Linked DNA regions of Ovis aries. The protein of the gene in region 2 interacts with the protein of the main gene of each other region in a pairwise test. Links are inferred from orthologs where the notes say so. Each region holds a gene or a part of one and is shown on either strand. Other genes may lie near its edges.

Region 1 (10,099 bases), on a different chromosome or scaffold from region 2:
TGGGGGGAAGGTACTTGACATGGACTTTTGAGTTTCTCTGGGAGGAGTAGCCAGTGTGGGGTCTTGGAAGGGTGGGAACAGGTGGCAAGGCCTGTGTCGGTCTTGTGGCAAAGGGAGCCTACCTGCTACCTCACCTTGCTTCTTCCAACCCACCTCCCCAGGAAAGGTGTTCAGCCAAACGACTATCTGCCGTTTTGAGGCTTTGCAGCTCAGTTTCAAGAACATGTGTAAGCTGCGGCCCCTGCTGCAGAAGTGGGTGGAGGAAGCTGACAACAACGAGAATCTGCAGGAGGTGAGGGTGGGAGGGATGCACAGGGACGGCCCTATCTCAAGTCTGATTTTCACTGCTTTCATCTCTGGCTGGCAGCACGCCCTCTGGGAGCCAGTGGCCCTCAATGGCATGAAGTGTGGTTCCTCTGTTCTGCTGAGAGAAGGTCCAGGATCACTTGTCTAAACCTATCTTTCCAGGATCTTTTTCATACCCCCTGGCCCTGGTGACAACTGGCTGCTGCTCCTGAATAGTTGGCTCTTGAGTCACTGTCCCCAATACTGGTCCTTAGCAGGTTTGGGGCTTGCCCGCCCATTTATTTCCTTGTCATCTCCTCCCCACCTGTTCAGATATGCAAGGCAGAGACCCTTGTGCAGGCCCGAAAGAGAAAGCGGACGAGTATCGAGAACCGAGTGAGAGGCAACCTGGAGAGCATGTTCCTGCAGTGCCCGAAGCCCACCCTGCAGCAAATCAGCCACATCGCCCAGCAGCTCGGGCTGGAGAAGGACGTGAGTGCACCTGCCCCTGTCCCTGTGTGTGCCGTCTCCTCCTCCCCGGTCACACCTCCCAGGTCTCAGGACCAAATGCCCCTCCCGTGTCCTCCACTCCTAGGTGGTCCGAGTGTGGTTCTGCAACCGTCGCCAGAAGGGCAAACGATCAAGCAGTGACTACTCCCAACGCGAGGATTTTGAGGCTGCTGGGTCTCCTTTCGCAGGGGGACCCGTATCCTTTCCTCTGGCGCCAGGGCCCCCTTTTGGCACCCCAGGCTACGGGGGCCCTCACTTCACTACGCTGTACTCTTCGGTCCCATTCCCTGAGGGTGAGGCCTTTCCCTCGGTGTCTGTCACCGCTCTGGGTTCTCCTATGCATTCAAACTGAGGTGCCTGCTCACCCCAGGAATGGGGGGCAGAGGAAGGGGAGAGCTAGGGAGAGAACCCTGGGGTTTGTACTAGGGCTTTGGGATTAAGTTTTTCATTCACTAAGAAAGGAATTGGGAACACAATGGGTGTGGGGGCAGGGAGTTTGGGGAAACTGGTTGGAGGGAAGGTGAAGTTCAATGATGCTCTTGACTTTAATCCCCACATCACTCATCACTTTGTTCTTAAATAAAGAAGCCTGGGACCTAGTAGGTGGATATTTTTGTCTTTGGTTTATCCTCTAGTTATTGAAGAGTGGATAGGATATTTAATAGTGGGTATTAACAGCTCTCAGACCTAAATGACCCCGAAACGAAGGTTGCTGTTTACACTGTGCAGTCACAATGTCAGAGGGAGCTGTGGGGTTGGATCCTAAGTTTATATGGACAGGGCTCTTTATAAGTGTGAGCTAGTTCTTAGGAACCTCTGACTTGCGGTCCTGCAGAAATTGGAGATGAACACCTTTGCCCAAAGAGGCAGTTATTACATAGTCCGTTCCCTATTAGGATCTGGGTTTTTGCTTTCCTCCATTCTTCTCTGTAGTCCTCAGTGGCTTTGTGCTAAGAAATCAAGCCTTTACTCATTTCTTCTATCAGTCCAACCAGAAACGCCACTTTGTGCTTTCTTGATACTGGGGTCCATTTGGTTTTCACTTAAGGTTTTTGCCTTGTTTGTGACTCACTTACCACTACACACACTTTAGACCTGACGCTGCCACTTCCTAACTGGGGCTCTTCCTCTGGAGCTTTTCCTTGATCCGTAAAAACATTTGGGTTGGTAAGTCTAAGTAGAGAAGGAAGGGGATGGACATGCAGGTTGCAAGAAGATAGGTCAAGACAGGACTTTCCTAGTAAGAACTATAGAAACACTGCTTTGACAGTGTGCTGACTTGGTGTGCAACTGAGAAGAGACTCAGTGGAGCATATGTGGGTTGTATCGATCCTGGACCAGGCTGACATCTGCTCTAGCTGGTGTCTCAGGTTCTCTCTTCTTGGTAGTACTGATGAAACTTGTAGAAGTTCCACCACCCTCATGAACTTGATCAAATCCAAATGACATTTTAATGGCAGTGAATGTTTCCTTTTAAATTAGCAACTGTAATTACCTAGATTCCCCTTTTCCTGTCTTCCTCTGCCTCATCTGCTTGTCTCTTCCTGTAAGTATCTGAATTAATTTTCCAGACTAACCAACTCCATTCTGTCAAGAACTGGAAGGCAAGGAGTATCAGACCCACACAAAGAGTAAATACCTTAGAGCGTATGAAGCTGCTCATTCTTTATTTGGAAATGGAAGCAAAGCTCTGAGAAGTCAGGTCACAGTCATTGTGGTCAGCAGCAGGACCACCCACAATGTAAGGAAGTTTGGGGTCTGTGCTCTAGAAATGCCTTAGGGATACCATCAAAAACATTAAGAACTTGCTTGTTCAAGGCTGGGGCTTATACCTTCCCAGGCATGACCTCTACAATTGATGGGTGCTCTTGACCACAGACATTCTAGTATCCATGACAAGGACCTACAGCTTGTGACAGTGGGAATTTCCAGCTCACTGGTAACTTCCTGGAGGCAGCAGTATCTTTGGCAGGAAGCCATCTCTTCTGTCACCTTGGCCACAAGGCCCTGCTCCAGGCCTTGAATTGATAATCCACAGGAGTGGACCCTTCTCCTGAGTCATTCCCTCCTGGAGAGGCAAGGATAGAAGAGGGCAGCTCTTAGGACCCATTGGCACCCTCAGTGTCCACCCCTGGCCTGGAGGTGCTGGCTCTGTCCTCTGGTGCTTTGGCGGTGGGCCTTAGGTCTGGATGCCTGCACGACAGCCTGGGCACCGGAAGTCGGCCTCCCTGGCAGCCTGAATGCTGCAACCAACACAGGCCACATGGAACCAGATGTCACAGCCATCACACTGAACCCAGGCCACTGTCTCTTCTTGGGGTAGGCAGCAACAAGGGGCTGCACAGGGCTCCCCGCCCCCAACTGCAGGGGGAGCCCTGGAGTTGCTCAGTGGGTGCTTCCGAGGACGCCCGCGTCGATTTCTGAAGGAAGGGACACAAAAACCAAGGTCACTGGAAACCTGTAGAAGCCTGGAACTTCTCCCCTGGATAACTGCAGAGGGACCCCATAGAGATTCACTAGACTAATGGTGAATCTGGCTAGCACAGCTAACCCAGGTCTTGTCATCACAACAGGTGTTCCATCTCCCATCCCCACCACCCACGCATTTAGGTACATCTCAACCTAGGGCTCTAAAAGAACCAAAGGCAGTGAAATAAAGCCAAGTTCACTTACCCACTGGGTGTCGGCGGGGTTTTCTCTACGCGGAGTTTTTTCCTAGGCTCCGGCAGGACTGGTGAGGGGCTCTTGGGAGCCTCTCTCTCATCATCCAGTTCTTCCAACACGCGGTGAGCCGACTTCCTCCGGTTTCTTGGGGGTGGGGCAGAAGGGGCAGTCCCCGCTTGCCCGGTGGGAGTGGGAATAGGCGGACTCTGTGGCCCACCCCCACTCCGTGAGAAGGTGAGGGGCTGCGAGTGGAGCTTGCTGAGGCTGCCAATGGAGTTGAGGATCAGCGTTGCTTTGGGGGCTGGGGAGAGGGTGCTGAGCGGACGCTGTGGAGCCCCCTGGGAGGGCAGCATGGGCCGGAAACCAACCCCGGTTCCCTCTTCTCCCCTAGACCGTGGGGTAGTAATGGCAGCAAAATCTTGAGGTTTGACTCGGACTTGCTGAAACAAGTAGAACTCTGAAGGGCTGGTTCCTGGGGGCCCTTCAGGGCCAAAGGTCAGAAGATCACCATCATTCAATTCCAGCCTGTGACCCCTTGGGAGTCGGACATTATTGACCAAAGTCCCTGTTGATTATGGGGCACCAGACAGATAAAGAGAACGACAAAAACAAACGACTGGTCAGCAGTGGAGAAATCTGGTCCTGTCTGGTTTTCTGGGAAATATGAGGAAGAACACATGCATGTCATGAAATCCTCACATTCTAAGTCCCTCAGTAAGTAGGTGTCATCAGATAAGAAACTCCCTGGGAGCTAAGAATTTTTTTTTTTCCTTATGCTCTCCCTCAAGGCACATGAAATGAACTTCCCTCAATCCACTGAGGTCTGGGTCTCAGAGATGCTCACTCTCAGTTCCAGTTAACAGCATAGCTCAGACTATCTGAGTTCAAATCCAAATTCCACCATTTACCTGTCACGTGACCCTGGACAAGTCAGCCTCTTTATGCTTCATTTTCTTTGTAAAATGAGGCATTTGTGCTCACCTATATTTAATGCACATAAAACAGTTCTTGGCGCATAATAATAAACAGGAAATGAATGTTGGCCAATTGAAGTTATCTAATCCCCACAACACTCCTCACTTTCAAAGACATATTTTAGCTAAGAGGAAACTAAGACCTAGAGAGGTGAAGTGGCAGGTCTGAGTGATGTTACCAGGGGCCAACAGCAGAACTCGTAAACCCAGGCCTCCTGAGGCTGCCTAACTGCCTCCAAGTCAGGGAGTAACGCCCATGTCCGGATGATTAAAAGATAATTCAACATAAAACACAACTGCCCTAAGGCAAGGACAAATGTCTAAACAATCTGGAAACTGAAGTCTAAGCTTGCCCCCTCACTGCCCACCATGGTCTCAGAACATCCCCACTGTGATGCCCCAGTCTGTGGATCTATCTCCCACCCACTCTATAAGCTAAACAGGATCAGCCCCACAAAGAGCTTCCGACACTGCACATTTCTGGTGGAAAGACAGAAGTCTGCATGACAACCGTCCATCCAACCTGATGGGGAGTTTGGGAGGCCAGCAGAGTCCCTGTGGAGTCTCTTAATTCATTCCAGCCCAAAACTGCGACTGCCCTGGCATAAGGCTGCTCTGCTCACTCCTCACCTTGGCTGCTGTGGTTCTCCAGGCTGACCCTCCAGTCATCACCCTGGCGCTCGGCATGCAGCTCTGCGTGGACCCCAGAAATGAAGCCTGGCTCGTGCTGTGGCCGCAGGGTCACATCACAGAGGTCGGCCCTGCAGCCCAAACGGTAGGTGCAGCCAGCTCCACTGGGGGGGTGGAAGGTGTGGAGATCGACACCCTTGCCGACCCCTATGCGCAGCAGCTGGAAGCAGGGCAGCATGGGCGGGGCCCCCTCGGCACCACCTCTTCACTTCAGGAATCCATCACCTTGTCCACTTTCCTGGGCCGTGCACAGCTGGCCTAAATTCACTTTCCGTCTGATGCAAACTTGAGCTATCCTTTGTGCAATTTCGACTTTGAGCACACTCCCTGAGTAGGGCAAATTCAGGGTGCACGGAGCCTAGGATGCGATGTAAAATTGGCTGTCAACAGCTTTGCAACGGAAAAAATTTGGTGAAAGTTCCAGTGTAGTGCAAAATAGAAGGCGTCCTGTGGCACGAAGTTGAATCGGATCCTCAGGCCGCAAAATATTCCAGGAGCCTTCAATCTGGGCAAGTCAACAATACATTAGGCAGCTTATAGGGAAATTCGAACTGTAGGTGTGGGGGGGGCGGGGGAGGGGCGCTGCTTCTGTGTGATATACTAACTTGCCTCTTCAGTGTAATTTAGAGATGAGAAGCTTCTTCCTGTCAAACCTGCTTTTCCTAATAGAGTAACCCGCCTGCTAGCTCACGCTTCACTCTTCTAACCAATTCCTCATTCATAACTAGCTAGCTTGACCCCCAGTGGGAAATGTACTCAGTCACCCCTCAAAGGCAGTGCAAACGGGGCTCTACGTTGTCCAACAAAGTGGATCTAAACCCCTGCTTTCTGGTTTCTCCAGGTGGGATAAAAACAGAGGAAAGGGCTTCCCAGGATGATTCAAGACAAATCCAGCCTTTTCCCTCCCCGCCCCAGCCCGGATTCGTATCTACCGCGCTGTGCAGTCTCGGAATGGTTCCCTCTCCAGGTAATGCCAGCCTATGCCGCAGCCCAGGACCTCTCGGGATCGGCCGGGGTTGGTGCTCCTGCGGCTGTTTGACAGCGAAGAAGCCAGGGCCAGGAGGGGCGCGGTCTCCGCGCGCGCGCATCGTCGACCCCGCCTTCGGAATTCCCGGGTCCGGACTTCGAGCGGAGTGAGCGCGTCCCCCGAGCCGTTTCTGATTGGCCATCTCGTTTGCCTTCCTTCTCTCCATTGGGCGACGCGCTGGGATCTCCCGCCTTCCGCGTTTTCTGATTAGTTCACAAGTTTTCCCGGGTTCCCGGAGTTGGGAGGAGCCGCCAGGGCGCGGAGAAACCCCTAACGCCTTAATTGGGCCTGGCTTTAGACACTACTGCGCCTGCGTGCGCCGCTTCCCCGCCTCCTTCCGGAGAGGTAACCCTACAGGCTTAAGAGCGTCCCGCCAACCTGCCCGCTTTGCGCAGGCGCGGCCAGGGATCCAGGCAGCGACCGGGAGCTAGGTGTAGGGGGTGTGGCCAAAGGGCTGTGGGGTCTCTCGCGCTGGGTAAGGGGCATTCGGGAAGAGTCAGTTGGGGGCGGGAAGGGGCTGAGAGGGGGTGCGGGGGTGGGTTCAGGGGTCCACCGGGCGGAGGGGCGTAAGGGCAGGGTAAAGGAACAAATGAGGTGGTCAGAACAGCCTTAGAGCTCAGCGTCCAGCAGGGCGAAGACTCAGGAGGATCTGGGAGAGAGGAGGGAGGGAGTGCAGGCTACTGAGACATGAGAGGGTGAGGGGCCAGCATAATTCCTTCAGGATAAAAGCAAATAGTGATGTAGGGAGGGATAGGGATCCCAGATTGGGAGAAAAATAGATGAATTCGGGTGGGAGGGTGGGGAGATCTTGACAAGCCCTCTCTGCTCTAGGACTCTGGAGAGGCAGGTGGGAGGCAGGAATGGAAGCTGAGGGGACGATAGAGAGAAACTGAGTGGAAAGTTGCTGGCACGGTTTGGATAAGATGTCCGAAACTAGCTGGCTTTTCTGCTAAGGAGTCCAGGCTGCCTGGATTCCCCCAGGGGTTCTGGGGAGGCATTCTGTGCTACATGTGGCCGCATTCATCAGGGGCCAGGCCTTGGGTCAGCGCTCTAATAGGGAAGGACCCGGGAGTCATGGCTTGGTGGTGTCTGGATGGGCTTCCCCAAGGTCTTGGTGAGCCATGGAGAGAACTCTGGAGACTGGGCTCACGGCCCCTGCATCGCATACCTCAATTGTCACCTTCATCCAGGAACTGCAGAGACCATAGAAACTTAAGGAGGAGGGTAAAGGCACTGTCCAGAATTCTAAAAGTATGAGTAAAACTTCACAGCCCCTCAGCCTGTCTCAGTAAATTGTCTCCACCTCATGGCTGTTGCCATAGTCTGTCAGGAACCAGACTGAGACAAGCAAGGGATCTTGGGGTACTTCCTGCTTCTTTTGGGAAGTAGAATAAGAAAAGCTAAGAGTCGGATGGACCTGGCTGTTATTTAAGGATTATGACTTTGTTATTGTAGGGGCTCTCTTTTTGGAAGGAGGCCTGAAAATTGAATTGGAGTGTCTTTGTTTCTCCTATTGTTTAGGGGGGCATAGATGGCTGTACACCGACTCTAGAGACTTCAAATAATGTGGAGATGTTTCGACCTTCAGGTCAGTGGGACCTGGCATGGGGACTGGTGATTGTGTCTCCCTGGAGAACTGAGTACCTTTGTCCTTACGATTCTTTAGGTTCCACTGGGCTGATTCCCCCATCCCACTTCCAAGTTCGGCCCCTTCCAACACTGCCGAGAATGGCTCCCACATGGGCCTCAGACGCTCCCCTGGTCCAGCGCCCAACCCATCAAGATGTTTTAGAGAGGCGGCCAGACAACCAGAGACCTCAAGTTACCATGTGGGAACAGGAAGTTTCTGGCAAAGGGCAGGAACCAGAGTGGAGAGGCAGGTATGGATCTAATGTTACTGTTCTCTTGGGCTTGCTTGCCAATGACCCTTCTTGACTGTAATAGAGTCCTTACCCTCTTTCAACCCTTAGTTCCACAATTTGTTCATTTTTTTTTAGAAGCAATTGTTGGTGTCTACAATGCATAAATAATAGCAGTGTGCTAGATGCTAGGGACAAAGATAACAAAAATAAATAAGATATCCTGATATCAAAGAATTTTAAATCCTAAGGGAAGAAATTGGTTGACCCACAGCTGATTGTACTAAGCGTAGTATAAGGCAGGCTGAAGAAGTGTGGGCTGGGTATACAGACTGGGTGCTGTAGTAGTACGAGTTCATCTGGTGGAGCTGGCCATGCTCTCTGTCAGTGTGTTGTCTGTGAAAATTCTTATTCTTGATGTTTCATGTGAATCTTTTCCCAAATGTACTGGACCATCCGTCTGCCATTTTGTTCCTGAGCAGGATTGCAATTGGGTCTACTTTGGGCCCTGTCAAAGGGAAAGAAGGAGGATGATGAAAGGGGAGCGTGAGAGTGTCAGGGGATGGAGACTCTGTGGCTTGTTTGGCTACCCTCTAGGGGTCCTTTGTCCAGTCACTTAATTTCTGTAGGCTACAGATCCTGTAAAAAGGTGTTGGGGAGTCCAGTGGTTAGGATTCCAGGCTTTCACTGAAGGACACATGTTCAGTCCTTGCTTTGGGATCTAAGATCCCACAAGCTGCATGGCACAGCTGAAAAAAAATTTTTTTACAGTGCTCTGGTTCTGGGCCTCAGTGAGGGAACTGTGTCAAGAATCATCTTATAAGCTGGTTTCAGCTCTCTAGAGGTTGGGACTTTGTGATTTATTGAGATGCTGCCCTCTCAGACTTCTCATGCAGGATATCTAACAGTTAAATAATCTTAACTGGCGTCTGGCCTTGCCATACTGATACTGGAAGCCATCACCTCTCTTTGTACCTCCATCAAACTTTTCCCTGCCCTTAAGTCAGAATTCAGCAGTCTCAGTGTCCTTCAGACTTCTCCAATTCAGAATGTGTAGCCTAATGATGTGGAGAAGACGATAGCACCCCACTCCAGTACTCTTGCCTGGAAAATCCCATGGACGGAGGAGCCTGGTAGGCTGCAGTCCATGGGGTCGCTAAGAGTCGGACATGACTGAGCGACTTCACTTTCACTTTTCACTTTCATGCATTGGAGAAGGAAATGGCAACCCACTCCAGTGTTCTTGCCTGGAGAATCCCAGGGACGGGGGAGCCTGGTGGGCTGCCGTCTATGGGGTTGCACAGAGTCGGACACGACTGAAGTGGCTTAGCAGCCGCAGCAGCAGCAGCCTAATGACGTGCACGTGTGATGGTTAACACATCTGTCTGTATATTGCCTTCAAGAGAGGTTATGGTCCATGAACTCAGCTAGCTTTTCAGGTCCTGTGGACCCAGATATGCTTAGTAGGGCTGCCTTGAATGATGATGGTGACGGAATGCAGAGATCCCCATGGCCCAGCTTCATTCCCTGCATCCCTCCACATAGGAGCAGAGGGATCCTCTCCTCTTCTTTTGTCTCCATTCATGCCTTGGCCGCTCTCACCACCTGACTGACCTGTCCCACCTATGCTAACTTGTCTCTGAAGGTGCACGGAATTGGCAGGGTCACAGGCCCTGAGTCAGCAGGCTGAGCTGATCTCTCGACAGCTGCGAGAGCTGCGGCGGCTGGAGGAAGAGGTCCGGGTGCTACGGGAGACCTCGCTGCAGCAGAAGCTGAGGCTGGAGGCTCAGGCCGTGGAGCTGGAGGCACTGGCACGGGCGGAGAAGGCTGGCCGCGCTGAGGCTGAGGGCCTGCGTGCCGCCCTGGCTGGGGCCGAGGTTGTCCGAAAGAACCTGGAAGAAGGGAGCCAGCGGGAGTTGGAGGAGGTTCAGAGGCTGCACCAAGAACAGGTGAATGTGGGTGTGGGGAAGGCTCGGCTGCCCAGTGGGGAGCTAGGCGGGAGCTCCCCAGCAAAGAGCAGGTTTTGCCGAAAAGAGCGATGAGGTGTTTGGTGAAGGTAAAAAAATACAGGTGACCTGGAAAGAGGGAGA
Region 2 (9,381 bases):
GAGACCCAAGGCCCTGATAGCAGCGGGGCAGGGCTGGGGTTGAGAGGCCCTCAGTCAGCCCCAGGCCACACTGGCTGTGGTCCAGCAGAAGGGCAAGAGCCCCACTCATGCCTGCCTTAGAAAAACACAACTCAACTCTCGGGGGACAGGGCCACCCTGTCCTCCTGACGGAGGTCACAGCCCATGTGATCAAGAGTGAACTCTCCAGGGACTGTCCTCTAGGTGTCAACCCAGGCCCTCCAGGCCCCAGGTTCCAGCTGCTCAGTACCTTTGGGAATTAAAACCAACTCCAGCTGAAGGGTGGGTGACACCAGTGGGGTGTGTGCCCCAGGTTCCTGGAAAGGATAACCTGTCAGGAAAGACTCATTCTGGAACGTCCCGGAGGTTTGCTGAGAAGGAAATCAATCACGTCACAACTCGGTGCAACTTAAGGCTTCATTTTCAAGCTGTAAGCATGGCCTTTAATTCTTTAACCACATTCAGTTCCAAATTAAGAGTTTCAGCTCTGCAGGAAGTGTCCAGCCGTCTGACTGCCAGAGCCTGAAGAGGCCAAGTTACCTACCCACGGAAAGGAAACTACCAGCCCTGAGGCTGGCCATGCCTGACTGCCCAGCGTCTGTCCCATATGCCGCGACCTTCTGTGAAGAGCTGCGTGGCCACGTGAGTTCGCTGTTGCCAAGGCGGTCCGGAGGCCTCTGCAGGCAGGGGCTCGGTGCTGCCGTGGGGAATCCTCCCGCGTCCAAGGTGCCCTGGCCACGAGGAGGTGCTGCTGTTCCCTGCCTAGTTCCCAGTGGACCGTTTTCCTGAGCCAAGACACAAACGGGTACAGTTCACTGGCCTCGCAGGAAGGACACGCCCTGTTGGTGAACTTCTGCGGTCCCTGGGAAGGAGCCCCCGCCATCAGGGACCAGCACAAACGAAAGGTGTATCCCAAGACACCATGGTGAGCAAGCAGGACTCCCATCACTGCCCCACCCCACTCCACACTAAAGCTGACATTGCCCTAGACATCCCAGGCAGGACAGGGCGGGGCTAGGGAGATCTGAGTTCTAGGCCTGGCTCTGCTGTGACCTGCCCTCTGTGACTATGGACAACCTGGTTCCCACCATGGCGGGATGCAATGCCCCCGGGAGATGGTGGAAGGAGGGCTGGGGGCTCCAGGAGGTGGTTCAGCCCTGCACTACTGGCCAGCTCCCCTTGGGCTGAGGCTGGGTTCACACCATGCCTGAGATGAGAACCTCTTCACCTCTCGGGGTGGGGGGATGATACTGGCTAAAATGAGGGAAAACAGGGATTCATTAGTTCAGAGGGGCATGAAGGGGAGGAACCTCAGGGGTTTTCCTACCTCGGCTGGGATATCAGGAGGTAAACATTCTCTTAAGTTTGGAAAGGAATCCCTCCTTGTCCTCCCCAGCCTCAGGCCTAGCCTTGCCTCCCGCGGAGCTATCCATGGTGCTGCCACCTGGGCATAAACAGCAGAGAGAACTGGGGTCAAGGGTGCAGACCTCCTCGCAGCCCGCCCCAGGCCCCGCCTGGCCACCCAGGGCTCGCGCTCCAAGAGCCACCAAGCGCCACCCCGAGAGGAGAGGTGGCCGTATCAGGTTGTCCAGGGTTGTCCCGTTCATCAGATGACTCAGCACTTAGAGCATCCCAACTGTTCCCCAAGTCACTGGCCCTCAAGAGGAAAACAAGGAACAGAAAGGGACATCAGGCAGCTGTCCCACCTTAACAACCATAACAAAAAACAGCCGGTGCTGATGCCTTCCAGGCCAGGCTACATGGCGTCCGTACCTCAGTCAATCCTTACGATAACCTTACAGGTAAATTCCAGATGAAAGAAACAAAAACCAGAGGCACAAAGGGGTTAGGTGGCATGACTAAGGTCACAGAGCAAATAAGCGAGCAGGAGGTCTGAGTTCAGACCCAAGCAGTCAGACACCAAAGCCCAGGCTCTGAGAAGGTGAAGAGCATGTGCCGAGAGCCACTGACCAGCTTCCACACCCAGCTAGTGCACACGGACCATCTTCAGGTAGCACCCGGGACCCCAGGACATGTGCGCTGCTCATCTGGGACGGGGCAGCCAAGGGCCCCGTGTGTCACCGGGCAAGCACCTGGCTCCAAATGCTCCAAGACAGGGTGGCCACCCTTCTGTTTTCAGAGGGGCCATGAGACCCCTCTGCACAAACACGGCACGTTAAAGATCGGCCACCCACGAGGCAAGAGGACCAATGCGCTATGAGCTGGACTGGACTCAATGTTTTTCATTGTGCCAGGAAAATTAGCGCATGTCAGTGTGCGGGGGGATGTATATCAAGGGCAATGTGTAGGACAAATGCCCATGTCCCCAAGATCTCAGTCTGAGATGCCTTTGCCGGTGAGAGGCCCACAGCTTCGGGCAGCAGGTCTCCAGAAGAGGTGGGGAAGGTAATCCATGGCTCTTCACAAGGTGATGAATAACCAGGTAACGCTCATTCCATGAATCTGTACCACCTTTTTCTCCACAGGTACAAGCTCCTAGTGTCATGAGCAAGGTCTGGCACTCACCTGGGGGTTCAGTGCCTGCTGGCCTTCCCCCCTCACACTGTAAGCTGGGCGGGGCAGGGACCCCATCTCTCTGGTCATCGCTTCTGAGCACATGGCAAGTGCTTGGTGACCATCAGTGCGAGAAACAGAAGCCAACAGGACTCCAGGGTGACATCTGAGGACTGGACCCACCCTACAGGCAGAGGTGCGGGGTCTACACGCAGTCTGACTACCTGAGCTGACTACACACTCAGACTGAGCCAGCAGAGTGCCTCTTGTTCCACTAAAATGTCTTTTTCCTCATCTTCCTCTTGCCTCCACCCTACCTAAATAAAGGGGCTCAACAGTCAATGCCGTCAGCTCATCAGAGAAGAGACCGCAGGTGGATCCAAGCTCTGGAAGAGGTTCCTGCACGACAGCTAAATGGACGTACAGAGGTCATCACAGGAGTTAATGACAATCCACAAACACAAACAACGAGCCATGCTGTCTCTAAACCCAAAAGGTCACTCAGTAACCTCAGAGTGCCCCAGGCCCCCAGCTCGCTGAGGTTTTTCTGCTTCTCAGACTGGGAACGAAGCCAGGGCCAGCCATTATTAAGGTTTTCAGCAGGGGCTACAGAGAACAAAAATAAACAAGCGATACTAAACCCACCAAAAACGTTTAGGTTGTTTTCCTACAGAATGGTAACTTTTCCAAATGCTTTCCCGATACCTTTCCCGTGGTGAAAGCAAAGACACCCAGGACTCAGTCTGCATCTGCAGTGACTATCTCCACGGGCACTTGGGGGCTATTAAGTGACACACTAGCCTAAGAACCACTGATGACTGCAGGCAACTGCTTCCAGTGTAACTTTAATAGCAGAGACTCAGGCTCTACTTGAATAAGTAGGATGCACCTTAGTACAGACGTCGGGAAAGGTTACTGTGTGCACCATGTCCTCACACGTGGACGGCAAAAGTAACTTTCTTCACAGTAACAAGAGGCTTAACCACACCCAGGCTGCAGACTGACCGACAGTGCATTCCAGTGCTAAGATTCTTAAAAGCCATTTAAATAATTATGTCTGGGAGCCATATTTCCCACTGAATACAATTCTGAAATGACAATGGAAGTGAGTGGAAAAAAAAATAATTCAGGACACTCATTTCACTTTATGAACTCTTCACAAACACATGCAACACATATGTTAACATGATATATTCAGCAAAATTATGTCAATAGAAATTTAAAACGAAGAACTGGCAAAGTGTCTGGCACATAAGAGCCTTTCAATAAATCTCGGCTAAACGAGGGGAGAGGGAATGAGCTAACAGGATGAGAACCGAGGACATTACTCAGAAACTGACTGCAGGATCAACTTCCAATCTGAGCTCTCAGGAAGGGGCTTGATAACAACTGGTGGATAATACCCAACATGCAAACAGTGAACAAGGCCCAGGGTCTCACTCAGAGCTCAGTCAGGAAGACCTCAAGTTCCCCTGGGGGAGGGGCGCATGGCTGAAAGCTGGTTGCAGAGCAAATCTCGCATGCTCTATGACTGTGGGACTATTTGGGACTCAGGAAAAAAACCTAGAGGTGCATAAGTAGAGTTATGTGGAAGAATCATCCCCACTTCTTTTTAGTCCAAGGGATAGTAACAAGAAAATATGAAAAAGTCTATGAACCAAACCACTAAAGTAAGTGCTCACTTTATGCCCAGTTGGCCAAAGACAGAATCTGTGGCAGCTGTTTTTTCACAGAGGACTTGGTCCCCTGGATTTAGGGGAGCTCGGCCAACTCCATGCAAAGGGTGCTGCCACTGGGACTCCCAGCCCTGCCCCAGGGCTCCAAGACCAAGACCTCACCCCCAGCTCTGATCACCTGCTCTGACTGCACACTAATCTAATACCACTCAAGTTCTGAGACGGTGACAGAAAATCCAGGACCCAGACAAAAACAATGTGGTGCAACCAGGAGGCAGCACATCGGGCAGCAGAAGCCAACTCACCCTCAGCACGGCCTGTCCCAGCCCAGCAGGAGGCCCAACTGACAGGGAACAGCGTTTCCTCGGCAGAGCACCCCATCCCAGCAGAGCACCTCATCTGGGCAGAGTACCCCCATCCAGAGGGAGGAGGGCCGCAGCCAAGGGTGCCTGTAGCCAAAGCTTCTGCCCAAGGTCAGAGTGGGGGGCATGGCTACTCACCAATCACCAATAATAAACTGCACTCTACAGATGTTTAAGCTCAAAGTAAACAAGGCGTTTTGTTTGTTCACGGCCCTAGAAGCTCAGAGTTTAGACCTGCTGCACACAGGCAGACCTGGGGTCGTTAAGCCTGCTGCAGCTGCTGTTTACAGGACACTCTGAAATCCAGGGGAAGACTTCTGGGCGAGGAAGACATACATCTCCTTTAGTGGCTACAAGCTGATCTCATGCAGGAATGAGCCCAAGGTCACAGGGCAAGTGGCAGAACCAAGGCTAGAACTCAGGAGAGCAGCCCTAAGGCACAGAGCTGCTCCCTGGAGGGAAGCGTCACAGAACTCACGGACCTCGGCCAGCAGCACGTGCACAGAGGATGAGGGCCGGGGCGGGGGGCCCTGCTGGCCAGCTTTCCCCAGAGTGTGGCTGCCCTGTGCCACTCTGCCCAACGCTCAGCCCCTCTCTTACTACTGGGCCCTCTGGAGACTCCAGGAAGATTCCCCAGTGGAAACCCCAACATGCTTCCAAACCGTCTGCCCTCCCAGGTACTGGGGGGCTCCCACGGGCCGCGGGGCTGTCTCACCAGTACTTGTGTTGGTGACGCCGTTCACCGTCCCCTCCACGTCGGTCTCGTCCTCAGCGTAGCTCAGGATTAGGCTCTGCTGCCGGCTTGTCAGTCTCCTGTGGACCGAGCGCAGTCAGTGTCCGAGTGGCTCCTCTGGGCAGCTCTTCAAAAGGACGTGGACGTGGCCAGTCCCCATGTAGCATGTGGGAAAGGCAGGACCCTCGACCCAGGCACCAGGCACACCCTGAACCCAAGAGCCCACACCCTTAAAGCTTCTGTAATGTAAACCTCTTCAACTACCCTGAGTTGTTCTAAACAACTGCCACTGTGGCCATGGTAAACAGTTTACCAGAGGAATGAAAAGCTGTTACAAGTGTGTGCAGGAAATCAACTAAAGAGAGTGCTGGAAACCCAGCCCTCTGAGAGGAGTCGGCAAGCCCCGTTCCAGATGTCCACAGCTCCCTCTTGGACTTTTCTCCTGAAGGCCAGACATGATACCTGCCGCCAGCTGGTTCTAGATCATCTCTCAGATGGAGGGCGACCCGAGAGTGATAATAAAACCAACAGCAGCAATAATAGCTAACTGCTCCCTATGGGTTATTCATTTCATCTCCCAGCTACTCAGCAAGGTCAAACTTTTATATCACGTCCGCTTTCAGAAGGAGCACCTGGGCAGGACAGACTTAGAGGGAGAAGTAACCTGCCTAAGCCTCAGTGCTTATAGCAGAAGTGCCACACAGGCTGGCGGTCGGGCTCAGCACCTGCCCAGGAGGTGAGAAGTCCTCGACCGGCTCCTGCTGGTGCTGGAAGCTACAGAGAGCGGGTGGGCCTCGCCACACCAGGTGGCACTTACTTTGGAACTCTGATCTTGATGTGAATGTAGTGGTCTCCGTAGCCATAGCTGTTAATCCTCGGGATGCCCTTCCCACTCATCCGAATCTTCTGGTCTGACTGAGTCCCAGGGGGGATCTACAAAGAAAGGAACCTCAGGTTTTCCTCCACCTCCAGCTGCCCAAATGAAAACATCTCACGACATGAAGACAATCTTACTCCCGAAAAGAACTCCATTCAGGTTTCTAGACCAAACCCACCAAACCCCACACAGAAACTGGCTAGGCTGAGTCTACCCTGAGCAGAGCCTGTGACGAGCTTGGGGCCAGGAGTCTGGGGTGGAGAGCCCACAGCAGGAGGGAGGGAGCTCGGGGAGTAGGACCTGGGAGGAGGCAGAGCCAACCCGCGGCGCCACTGAGGCCGCTGCCCAGCCCAGCAGGATGGACATGGCCCAGGAGCTGCTTCCCGGCCGAGTCACACCCAAGGTGTGGCCCACACTCCTCCTGCCTTCCGCCAGGTTGTTCCCAGGTTTCAGCCATTTCCCGTTTTAGAAAAACAAAAAGAGCAGTGAGAACGTGCTTGCACTCTTACCGTCACGCTGATGGTCTCGTACAGGCCCTGTGTTCTGGCGGTGCCCCCGAGGATGGCCTGAGCTATGGAGATGAAGAGGTCTGAGTGGATGTCTGCGCCATCCCTCCGGAACACAGGGCTTTTCTGCACCTAGGGTCAAGCACGGGAGGGTTATTCACGCTCAGAGAAGTCCTTCTGGAGAGCAGACCACAGCCGCGGCTCAGCGTGCAGCATCCAGGGAGACAGCGTACTTTCACCAAAGCGCCCACCTCCCCCAGGCTCCGGGAGTTACAGGGCAGCTTCTTCCTTCACTGCAATGCCACAGTGTCCTCTCAGATGAAGCTGTTCAAGTCTTGAGGGAAATAAAACTAAATTTTGAAAACTTAAAAAATATAAAAATCTTACTTTATTAGAAACACAGATGAAATATTTCACACACATGTAAATCAGCACAAGTAATTACCACACGCTGTACACACAACCCTGCTTAGGTCACAGAAGACCAGGACACAGGTGACTTCTCCCCCTCCTGCTTACCCCTCCACAGTAGCCGCTACGTTTAGTCTGTATCTTTCCTAGGAGCGTCTGTTTACCTTTTCTACATGTTTACATGTCCCTAAACAATACATGACACCACCTCACGTGGTTTGAAACTACACAGATGACCTCATTCCTCGGCCTGCAACCCGCTCGCTCCCTGTCCGTAACTGGGAGCTATCAGGGCGTCTCACAAAAACCTGTGCATCTCCAGCTTCTGCTCCGAGGTGCCCACAGTGCAGCCCCCTCACCAACTCCTCCCGAAGGACAGCAGGCCGTTGGCTGCTGTTGTCTCACCGTTGTAGACGAGGCTGGCACACGCCTTGCCTCCGCCTGCCGCACCTCCTTAGGGCCATGCCTGGTAGAATCGGTGGCAGAGGTGGTACTTCCTCTGTTATCCTTGCCTCAGAAAACTTTGCCTGCACGTCACACATAAATCTGTAGCTCTGGCACTTACTGTCCCCATGAACAATTCAATACATCAATAAAAAATATAAGATGTTTTCTGTATTTTTATGAGTGCTTTGTGGCCAACTTGTAAACACCTTGGGGTAACTTTGTTCTCTCCACATTTAGCACAAAAGCTTAATGTAACACATGTTTAATCATCCCGCTGAGCTGGCCACTACTTGACTAGAAACTTGAACAGCCAGGCACATTCTGTGAAGCTCTCACCTCACCCCTAAGAAGCCTGGGCTGCACCCTCTCCACGAGACCATGGGCCTAAAAGAGGCTGCGCAAACAGAGCACCTACCCTAAATGTGATGAAAATTTCTCGTTTTCCTACAGGCATCCTCACAGTCTGGCCATCCTCGACTCCTGTAAGCAAGAGAACAATTATTTGGGGATGTCTGAAGGCATTTTCTACGCTAGATCTATTTACAACCCACCCACTTACTCATTCCTGTTCCCTGTTACAAGGAACAACACAGTTACCCAATACAGCAACAAGTAAAACAAGTGTAACTTTTCAAAGGTGTGGCATATCGTAATTGATAACCAAATGAAAGCACCTTCCATTCACTTATTCAAGTTTACCAGCAGGTCCACCTAGTATCCCAGTGAGTTTAGAGTCTAGTGGGGCACAGTGCTAAAGAATCCGCCTGCCAATGCAGGAGATGGAGAAGCAGGTTCGCTCCCTGGGTGGGGAAGATCCCCTGGAAAAGGCAATGGCAACCCGCTGCAGTATTCCTGCCTGGAGAGCCCATGGGCAGAGGAGCCTGGTGGGCTGCAGTCCCTGCAATGAGTTGGATGCCACTGAGCACATCCACAGGGGAGACAGTTATTAGCTGAATAACAACACCATGTATCACTACAAACAGAGATAATTGCTTAGAATGAAAAGATCACAGCTCCAAAGGAACATCTAAGCAAATGCTTCCAGAAGGCTCCCCTGGGGATGAGGAAGCTGCAGGCAGCAAGGCAACAAGGGGGAGACTAAGAAGATAGGAGGCTGAGACCAGGAGGGCCTGGAAGAGGAGGCCAATTTTTGGCCCCTGAGAACCGCCACAGGGTCTTCAACAGTGTGAGATGTAATCAGACCACCCTGGGCAAAGACCACTCCAGGAATAGGATTGGTTTGGGGTGGGGGGTGGGGGTCATAGGCCGGCCCTGGGGGCAGAGAGGGTGGCTTTGCCCAGCTGGGCGGACAGTGGGTACAAGGTTGGCCTTGGGACAGAAAGAGGTGGAGGAGCTGCTTCTCGCAGGAGCAGGGCAGGCACGCGAGGTGCCATTTCCTTATGACACACGCAGATCTTAAGGGTAACTGGTGCAGAGGAAAATGCCTGAGACTCTGGTTTCTCCCTGAGTTTCAGCTCCAGAAACAAGGGCAGGTGGCCTCAGCTCCCAGCCCCCATGCGTGGAGGAGCCCAGACCCACCGGCAGGCACGGGGATCACCACCTTCTTCTTCTGCTTAGCCTGTCCTGCTCCTCTGCACACCACACAGGGAGACGTGATGATGGAGCCCCGGCCACCACACCTCCGACACGTGGAGCGCATCACAAAAGGGCCTGTGTTTATGGTTTCCTACAAAGACAAAAAAATGGGACCCTTAGACACCAGTGCACCCTGACAGCAAGGCCCTGGGACCACAACGAGCATGAGAAACGTCTCACCAAAGACCCATATGTGTGGTGTGCGCCTGCACTACAACACACTGCCTGAGCACAAGCTGCA

What was found.
Region 1: the proteins of DNAJA3 (region 2) and TCF19 interact in a two-hybrid assay, tested with the Homo sapiens proteins (2 studies listed by BioGRID and IntAct). The two-hybrid records come from large-scale screens. The link is inferred for Ovis aries from reciprocal best matches to the Homo sapiens genes DNAJA3 and TCF19.

The regions. Positions count from the first base shown.
Region 1 is NC_056073.1:27,057,526-27,067,624, forward strand, and holds TCF19 (transcription factor 19), read right to left. Parts: upstream 6,173-10,099; 5' UTR 6,056-6,172; intron 5,629-6,055; exon of another isoform or gene 5,482-5,628; 5' UTR 5,302-5,481; coding exon 5,064-5,301; intron 4,025-5,063; coding exon 3,469-4,024; intron 3,216-3,468; coding exon 2,975-3,215; 3' UTR 2,432-2,974; downstream 1-2,431. Other genes in the region: POU5F1 (POU domain, class 5, transcription factor 1), read left to right, coding at 162-292, 619-777, 881-1,147; CCHCR1 (coiled-coil alpha-helical rod protein 1), read left to right, coding at 7,159-7,374, 7,672-7,738, 7,817-8,030, 9,655-9,958. UniProt on the Homo sapiens protein: Potential transcription factor that may play a role in the regulation of genes involved in cell cycle G1/S transition. May bind to regulatory elements of genes, including the promoter of the transcription factor FOXO1.
Region 2 is NC_056077.1:4,163,174-4,172,554, reverse strand, and holds part of DNAJA3 (dnaJ homolog subfamily A member 3, mitochondrial), read right to left. Parts: intron 9,232-9,381; coding exon 9,084-9,231; intron 8,025-9,083; coding exon 7,960-8,024; intron 6,819-7,959; coding exon 6,690-6,818; intron 6,237-6,689; coding exon 6,121-6,236; intron 5,384-6,120; coding exon 5,170-5,383; 3' UTR 1,463-5,169; coding exon of another isoform or gene 1,359-1,462; 3' UTR 804-1,358; coding exon of another isoform or gene 781-803; 3' UTR 1-780. UniProt on the Homo sapiens protein: Modulates apoptotic signal transduction or effector structures within the mitochondrial matrix. Affect cytochrome C release from the mitochondria and caspase 3 activation, but not caspase 8 activation.